2 linked regions of the Macaca fascicularis genome follow. Each later gene encodes a partner of the first gene's protein in a complex. Links are inferred from orthologs where the notes say so. Each region holds a gene or a part of one and is shown in the gene's direction. Other genes may lie near its edges.

Region 1 (3,511 bases):
CCATTTGGATTGGCATAGGTTGTCCTTATGGTCAGCGACATTGCAGCAGGCGTCTTCGCAGAGTCTCTTTTCACTTTTTTCATTATTTGCATAGCTACATTCCTAGACGTGGCCTTGCGGGACTGTGGGAGATGCTGACTTCGGTGGCCATGTGACTGATGTGGCTGGGCCGCCCCTCAGAGCATGGCCCGGGGTTCCACTCCCATCCACAGGCCAAGAGGTGGTGCGTTTTCTTGAAGTTTAGAGGAGAAATATATGTATCTCTTATACATACGCATATTTTATTAACCAAAGGCTGTGACAAAAATCTGCCTTTTAAGATTTTTCACTTATGTCTTTTTACTTTAATCCAGGAAACTATGGAAAACGTGAAGAAATGTAAAAATTTCCTATCTACGTTAATAAAACTGGCTTCATCTGGCAAGCAGTCTACAGAGACAGCAGCTAATGTGAAAGAGCTCGTGCAGAATTTACTGGTGAGAAACCTTGACTTGACATTTCATTCCCTTTTCCCTAAGGCCTGTTGCATAGGAGAGACACCTATTGCTGCTGTGACTTGTGCCTGGGAGGCCTGTGCCAGCAAAGGGAGAGCTCCTCTGGAAGGCTGCAGGCAGAGGGGGGGGTGCACACCTGTCAGAGGTGTGTGTGGCCTAGCTGAGGAGACTCCTTCCTGGGGCTGGGTGTTCTGGGGCTGGTGCCTGGTGGTCTCCTGGGCTTTGCCATTTTCTGGTGCCTGTGTCCCTTGTCTGTGGCTCTCTTCTCCTCTGGCTGCCCCCACCATGCTGCACTCTGGCCAGGGTCCCTGGCAGCTCCCTTCTGGTCCTCTCCCCACTCCTGTGTGACCTCTTGTAAAATTCCCAGGTGTCCGCAGTCCCTGCTGGAACAGGCATTCTGCACCCTGAGCCAGCAGAAGCCCCCTCCCCGTGGAGCAGACCAGCTGAGGCACATTCGTGCTCCAGTGGCAGAGCCGTCCCCCCACCCCTGCCCCCACCCCTTCCGAAACCTCTGTCGCAGTGAACAGCACTCTGTCTCCTGGCCAGAACGTGGGAGGATTCCTGGCGGCCTCCCCTCTCCTTAACCCACAGTCCCAAGCTCTACATCTCTACTCATGGCCGAACTCTTGGCTCTCCACCTTGGCTCTCCCCATGGCTGTCTCATGGCTCAGGGGTATGCTGGCCTCAGTGGGATGGCCTGGGGATCTGGAGTGGCCAGTCTTTCCGTGCCTTCTCCTTGCCCGCCTGACCATGTCTTCCTGAGTCTCTCAGGGTTCAGTCCAGGCACCGCCTTCCCACCCTTGTCGCCTGTCTTCCCGACCTTTATGCCACGCTGGCCTCTGTTTCTGAAACAGGATCTGGCCCTCTTGCTCTGGGCTCCCTTTTATCTGACTGGACTCTGGGCACCGTGACTGCTTGCAGGGGTGAGCACAGCTGTTGTCTGCTCCTGAAGGTGCTGATGCCCTGACTGTCTGGATCCTGTCTGTGTGGCCCCTGGCACGCTGTGACCTCCTGTAGCACTGTGCTTGCAGGGCTGGCTTTGATAATGGAGTTACTTTTAGGCTGATCTGCCTCCTAGCAAAATGCCTGACACCGAATAGGTGCCTGGTAAACACTGAGTAAAGACTGGCATTGAGTAAGAGGCTTAGAAAAAGACGAGAAGTAGACAGGTGACCCTCCCAGGAGGAGACGTGGTCCGCAGCTGGCTGCACTGCGGTGTCCAGGGTGAGCGCCTGTCACACGTGTATCTGTGGAAGGTGTAGCACGCAGACTTTCCCATCTCCTCTGTCCAGTGAAACTCGGGGCGGAATCAGCCGTAAAATACAAGACCAGAGTGATGCGGGATTCAGAAGTGTGTGTGGAATCTCATTCACCAGAATTTCAACATGGATTTTATTTTTAAGGATGGAAAAATCGAAGCAGAAGATTTCACAAGCAGGTTATACCGAGAACTTAATTCTTCACCTCAACCTTACCTTGTGCCTTTCCTGAAGGTAATTTCGAAGGCCCGGGTGCTTGACGAGCAGCAGGGCCAGGGAGGGGTGGGGCGCAGATGCTCCAAGTGCACAGGGGTGAGGATGCTCCAGGCACGGAGGGTGCACAGCGCCTGTGCTCCCTGCGGGGGTGGGGCCGGGGACTCAGTGCCTGGGGACAGAATGTTGGGTGTTTTCTGTAAAGCAGGAGCTCCCCTGACACTGTGGCGTTGTGGTTCTGTTGTGCGCAAGGCGGTGAGAAGGGCGCGCGCTTCCTGAAACCGAGGGGAACAGGGAATTGGGGTGGTGTTTGCAAAACTGGATAGGACCAAGGGTGTTAACAGTGTCAGGCTGTCTGTTGGATAATCATTGGTATGAGCACATTTTAAAATTTAATACATATATTTGTACATATTTATGAGGTGCATGTAATGTTTTGTTACATTCATAGAATCAGGGTATGTGGGGTCTATCCCTTTGAATACTTATTTCCATGTGTTGGGAACATTCAGAATCTTCTCTTCCCGTGATGTTAACATATTTTAAAAACTATTTTAAAAATATGGCTCTTTTTGTTTGTTTTCTTAAACACATTTTGGACATTTGCTATCAGGAATAATCCCGCCTAGTGGGAGGGCGGGATGGGGTCCTGGCCCCTGACATCCAGACGTGCTGCTGTGAGGGCCAACATCCGTCTTAACTCAAAAATTTTCTGTAAAAGTTGATATTTCTGAATTTTTAAGCAAGGAAAACTGACGCATGAGCAACCCCCTGACCCCTCGTGTCTGTCTTTCCACCCAGAGGAGCTTACCCGCCTTGAGACAGCTGACTCCCGACTCCGCGGCCTTCATCCAGCAGAGCCAGCAGCAGCCGCCACCGCCCGCCTCGCAGGCCACCACTGCGCTCACGGCTGTGGTGCTGAGTAGCTCAGTCCAGCGCACGGCCGGGAAGACGGCGGCCACCGTGACCAGTGCCCTCCAGCCCCCTGTGCTCAGCCTCACGCAGCCCACACAGGTCGGCGTCGGCAAGCAGGGGCAACCCACACCGCTGGTATGGAAGGGGCACCTTACTGGTCCACACAGCCCACCGTGCCTCTGCTCCCTCCAGCTTCTTAGATAAATTGGCCATGGTTCAGAAACCTTTTCCAAGCATGCAGGAAGGCTCCTGCTAGAGGAAGCTTAGGCATTACCTTAGTTAAAATAGAAATCAGGGTTGAGGCCCTGGGATTTTGTGTTTTGTCTCAGTAAAATGAAATAGTTGAATTGGCTTTGAACCACTGGCACATCCCCGCCTTGTCTTGTCTAGGGATGTTACTGGTGTAAACGAATGCAGTGTGTTTTTAGAGGATCTTGTAGATAGATGTTCTCTTGGGTTAGGAGCAGCGGTCCAAGCGTAAGACACGGGCACCCGCGTGGGACAGGTGGGCAGGAGACTGGAGACGGTAGCAGCTCACAGCGCAGGGTGGATTTAGGTGGGTCCCGGGAGGCAAAGCTGCGGCTGCTCGTAGCGGTTCACGTATGTGCAATGTGGATCTGGCTTTCTTGG
Region 2 (4,274 bases), on another chromosome or scaffold:
TTTTTTTTTTTTTTTTTTTTTTTTTGAGACGGAGTCTCGCTCTGTAGCCCAGTCTGGAGTGCAGTGGCCGGATCTCAGCTCACTGCAAGCTCCGCCTCCCGGGTTCACGCCATTCTCCTGCCTCAGCCTCCCGAGTAGCTGGGACTACAGGCGCCCGCCACCTCGCCCGGCTAGTTTTTTGTATTTCTTAGTAGAGACGGGGTTTCACCGTGTTATCCAGGATGGTCTCGATCTCCTGACCTCGTGATCCACCCGTCTCGGCCTCCCAAAGTGCTGGGATTACAGGCTTGAGCCACCGCGCCCAGCCGCTTTGTGTTTATTAACAAAGATAGGTTCAAGCCTCACATAACTACTTTTCACTCACCGAATGTTCAGCAGGACATTCAGAAATCGTGTGTATTGCGGGATTTTCTTTATGTAGCATCATCTGTTACACTGTAGGACACATATTTTATATCCCTAGCTCTGGCCTTCCAATGCCTGTGGTTTTCCCAACCATTGTTCCGACCAAAAGCCTTCCCCAATGGACACGGTGGCTCACACTTGTAATCCCAGCACTTTGGGAGGCCGAGGGGGGCAGATCGCTTGAGATCAAGAGTTCCAGACCAGCCTGGGTGATGTGGCGAAACCCCATATCTACTAAAAATACAAAAATTAGCCGAGCATAGGTGGTGTGTGCCTGTAATCCCAGCTACTTGGAGGCTGAGGTGGGAGGATGGCTTGAGCCCAGCAGGTCTAAGCTGCAGTGAACCCGGATTGTGCCACTTCACTCCAGCCTGGGGGACAGTGAGGCTGCGTCTCAAAAAAAAAAAAAAAAAACCAAAAATGAGGCCGGGCATGGTGGTGCACGCCTGTAATCCCAGCTACTCGGGAGGCTGAGGCAGAAGAATCGCTTGAACCCGATAGGCGGACGTTGCAGTGGGCCGGGATTTCGCCACCGCACACTCCAGCCTGGGCGACAGAGTGAGACTTGGTCTCAAAAAAAAAAAAAAAAAAAAAAAACACACACACACAAAAACAAACCTTCACAAAATTTTAAATGCTTAGTTTTGGGACACCATCTCTTGGAAATTTGTGGTGAAGCACAGTATCCCCAGTAATTAACATAGTGCTTAGAAACAGTGGAACCACAACTCTTTAAAATGATTTAAAAGCATTTATGTCAGATAAAGGACCGCTGGCTAGCCCTCCTACGATCCATAGCTTCGCAGTCCCCAAACAGGAAGGCGTGATTCAATGCGCAGTAGCAAATTTAGGGTGACAACGAGATACATCCCACGGAGCCCGTGATTTCCTTTTCTTTGTTAGTTTTCAATTCCTTCAGTGTTACAGGGAGGAGCTCCGGCCTCCTCCGCTAAAGACTGTCGCATTTCCGCCGCTAGGCCGGAAAGCACCACCGTCCTTCCGCAGGCCTCAGTCAGCTAGGCCCAGCTCCAGCCCCGCCCGTCACCGGAAGTGAGGCGACGGAAGTAGCGTAACCCGCTGAGAACCAGCCGGCGGGGCGCTGTGGGTTGGCGGGCTAGTGGGATGGCAGATGAGGAAGAAGACCCCACCGTGAGTGACCGTCTGTGTCCAGAACCTCTCTTTTCTTCACTCCTTCGGGCTCAGTAGCGGAGGCAGAGTTCAGGATCGGATCTGCTTGCCTTAGTCAATTCAGCCGACAGAATTCGGGGACTTCACTCCCTAAGGATTGATCATTTTAGAAAGTGGGGAAGGACATGAAGAAAGAGTAGGTTTTGTGACCCCTTTCCCCTTGATTTTGATCTTTATTTGCCAGACACTGAAACACTTACAGAATCATCAGACGTCAAAACTAACATCTATTAGCGCTCACTATGAACCAACAGTTCAATTGTTAACAAAACTGTACTTACTGTGAAGTAATGGGAAAAGAATGCATTGAAAGTCAGACAGCCTGGATTTCAAAATCTCCATTCTCTCTAAGCAAGTTATTTAACTTTGACAATCAGTTTTCTTGTTACAAAATAGGGTTACGGGCTTACTTAAGGAACGTTTTTAGCACCGTATATGCAAATGCTTAGTAAATATTAGTTTTGCTTAATTGAAAGTCTACAAAGGTAGACTTTGATTCAGTATCAACTGTTTAACAGTAGCAATAGGCCACCTTAGTTGTTTAAAAATAAAACCTATGGTCATTGTAACTCTTACACGTAGAAGCAGTAGGATTATTTGTTAGGAACATTGTAGAAGCCATTTTTGGATGAGTTGGAAATTGGACTCGATACCTAGGCTGCTTACGTGCTAAGGTTTTGTGTTTTTTTTTTTTTTTTTTTTTTTTTTTTCTGCTTCCTTTAGGCTTTCTGGCCTATCTGTTGAAAAGGAAAAAACATTGTTATTATTAAAATATCAAATGCAAGGCAATTATTTGACATTTCTATATATACGTTTTCTAGTTTGAGGAAGAAAATGAAGAAATTGGAGGAGGTGCAGAAGGTGGACAGGGTAAAAGAAAGAGGCTTTTTTCTAAAGAATGTAAGTAGTATTTGACAATGATTTTGTTATAGATGATGAAAACTTTTGGACATATCCTTTCCAAGTACATTTATTGCTTTGAATGTTTCCCTGTAGTGACAATATTCTCAGACTAGCCTATCAAATTCTGTTTAGCTTTTGAATCAGATAGTACCAATCCTAACCCCAGTTATATGTGTGTGTATGTGTGTCTGTGTATAAATTGCTTTTTAGGTGAGCAAATGTAGTTCGTGTTTTAATTTAGGGCAGAAGAACATACCTCCATTAGTTTTCCTCTTGCCTTTGCAGCAGTAGAAAGAGAGGCTTCTTTGACTGTAAGCCACAGATACTAATGGATCCTGCACCAGGTGTTGAGGGAGAGTAGCAAGTGAGTTGGGGCTTGGGCTTTGGACTAAGGCTATGAACAAAGTAAGAAGGTGGTGAACAGCTGGGTGTAGTGGCTCACGCCTGTAATCCGAGCACTTTGGGAGGCTGAGGCAGGTGGATCACTGGAGGTCAGGAGTTTGAGACCAGCCTGGCCAATGTGATGAAACCCCATCTCTACTAAAAATACAAAAATTAGCCAGACGTGCTCGCTTGAACTCAGGAGGGAGAAGTTGCAGTGAGCCAAGATTATGCCACTGCACTCCAGCCTGGGTAACACAGCAAGACTCTGTCTCAAAAAAAAAGAAGAAGGTGGTGAATAGTGTAAGACATTAGAGTGACATGGAGGCTAGATGCAGTGGCTCACGTCTGTAATCCCAGCACTTTGGGAGGTCAAGGCAAGCAGATCGCTTGAGCCCAGGAGGTCAAGACCAGTCTGGGCGACATAGTGAAACCCTCTCTCTACAAAAAATACAAAAATTAGTAGGGCATGGTGGCACGCCCCTGTAGTTCCAGCTACTCTGGAGGCTGAGGTGAGAGGATGGCTTGGGCCCAGGAGGTGGAGGTTGCAGTAAACCCAGATTGCGCCACTGCACTCCAGCCTTGGTGACGGAACCAGACCCTGTGTCCAAAATAAATAAATAAATAAGCAAAATAAATAATGACATGGAGATTATAATGTATTGATTCTGCATCCTACCCCCTCAGTAGATGCTTTTGACCCTTTTTGGCAACAAGAGGAAGGGAGAGCTGCTGCTACTACTGATGGTACAGGCCAAGCCCTGGAACACAGCATGAGAATGTGCTCTCCATCTCCAGTCCTGGGTCCTTTATGTAAAGTTATATCTAAGTATTGAGAGATGAGGCAACACAGATTTATGAATATGGTTTATTTAGGCGGGGTTATATGTGAGCAGTTCCCAAATGCCCTTGAAACTACAGGGTCAGTATATCTTTTTTTTTTTTTTGCAATTAACTGGGCATGGTGGCGTGTACCTATAGCCCCAGCTATTCAGGAGGCTGAGGTGGGAGGATCACTTGTGCCCAGGAGTTCAAGGTTGCAGTGAGCTGTGATCATGCCACTGTACTCTAGCCCCAGTGATAGAAGAGTGAGACCCTGTCTCGCCACCAGCCCCAGCTAATTTTTTGTATTTTTAGTAGAAACGGGTTTCCCCATGTCAGCCAGGGTGGTCTCAAACTCATGACCCAGATGATCTGCCTAACTCGGCCTCCCAAAGTGCTGGGATTACAGGCCTGAGCCACCATGACCAGCCATACCCAGCTAATTTTTGTATTTTCAGTAGAGACTAGTTACACCATGTTGGCCAGGCTGGTCTCAAACTCCTACCCTCAAGTGATCCTCCTGCCTCAGCCTCCCAAACTGCTGGGGTTACAGGCATGAGCCACCACATCCAGCC

The links.
Region 2: TAF4 (region 1) and transcription initiation factor TFIID subunit 13 share a complex: the UniProt entries of both Homo sapiens proteins name them as parts of the TFIID basal transcription factor complex. The link is inferred for Macaca fascicularis from reciprocal best matches to the Homo sapiens genes TAF4 and TAF13.

Annotation. Positions count from the first base shown.
Region 1 is NC_088384.1:118,057,103-118,060,613, reverse strand, and holds part of TAF4 (transcription initiation factor TFIID subunit 4), read left to right. Parts: intron 1-353; coding exon 354-476; intron 477-1,897; coding exon 1,898-1,987; intron 1,988-2,767; coding exon 2,768-3,016; intron 3,017-3,511. UniProt on the Homo sapiens protein: The TFIID basal transcription factor complex plays a major role in the initiation of RNA polymerase II (Pol II)-dependent transcription.
Region 2 is NC_088375.1:125,372,314-125,376,587, forward strand, and holds the start of transcription initiation factor TFIID subunit 13, read left to right. Parts: upstream 1-1,465; 5' UTR 1,466-1,527; coding exon 1,528-1,554; exon of another isoform or gene 1,555-1,728; coding exon of another isoform or gene 1,729-1,729; intron 1,730-2,316; exon of another isoform or gene 2,317-2,414; coding exon 2,415-2,493; intron 2,494-4,274. UniProt on the Homo sapiens protein: The TFIID basal transcription factor complex plays a major role in the initiation of RNA polymerase II (Pol II)-dependent transcription.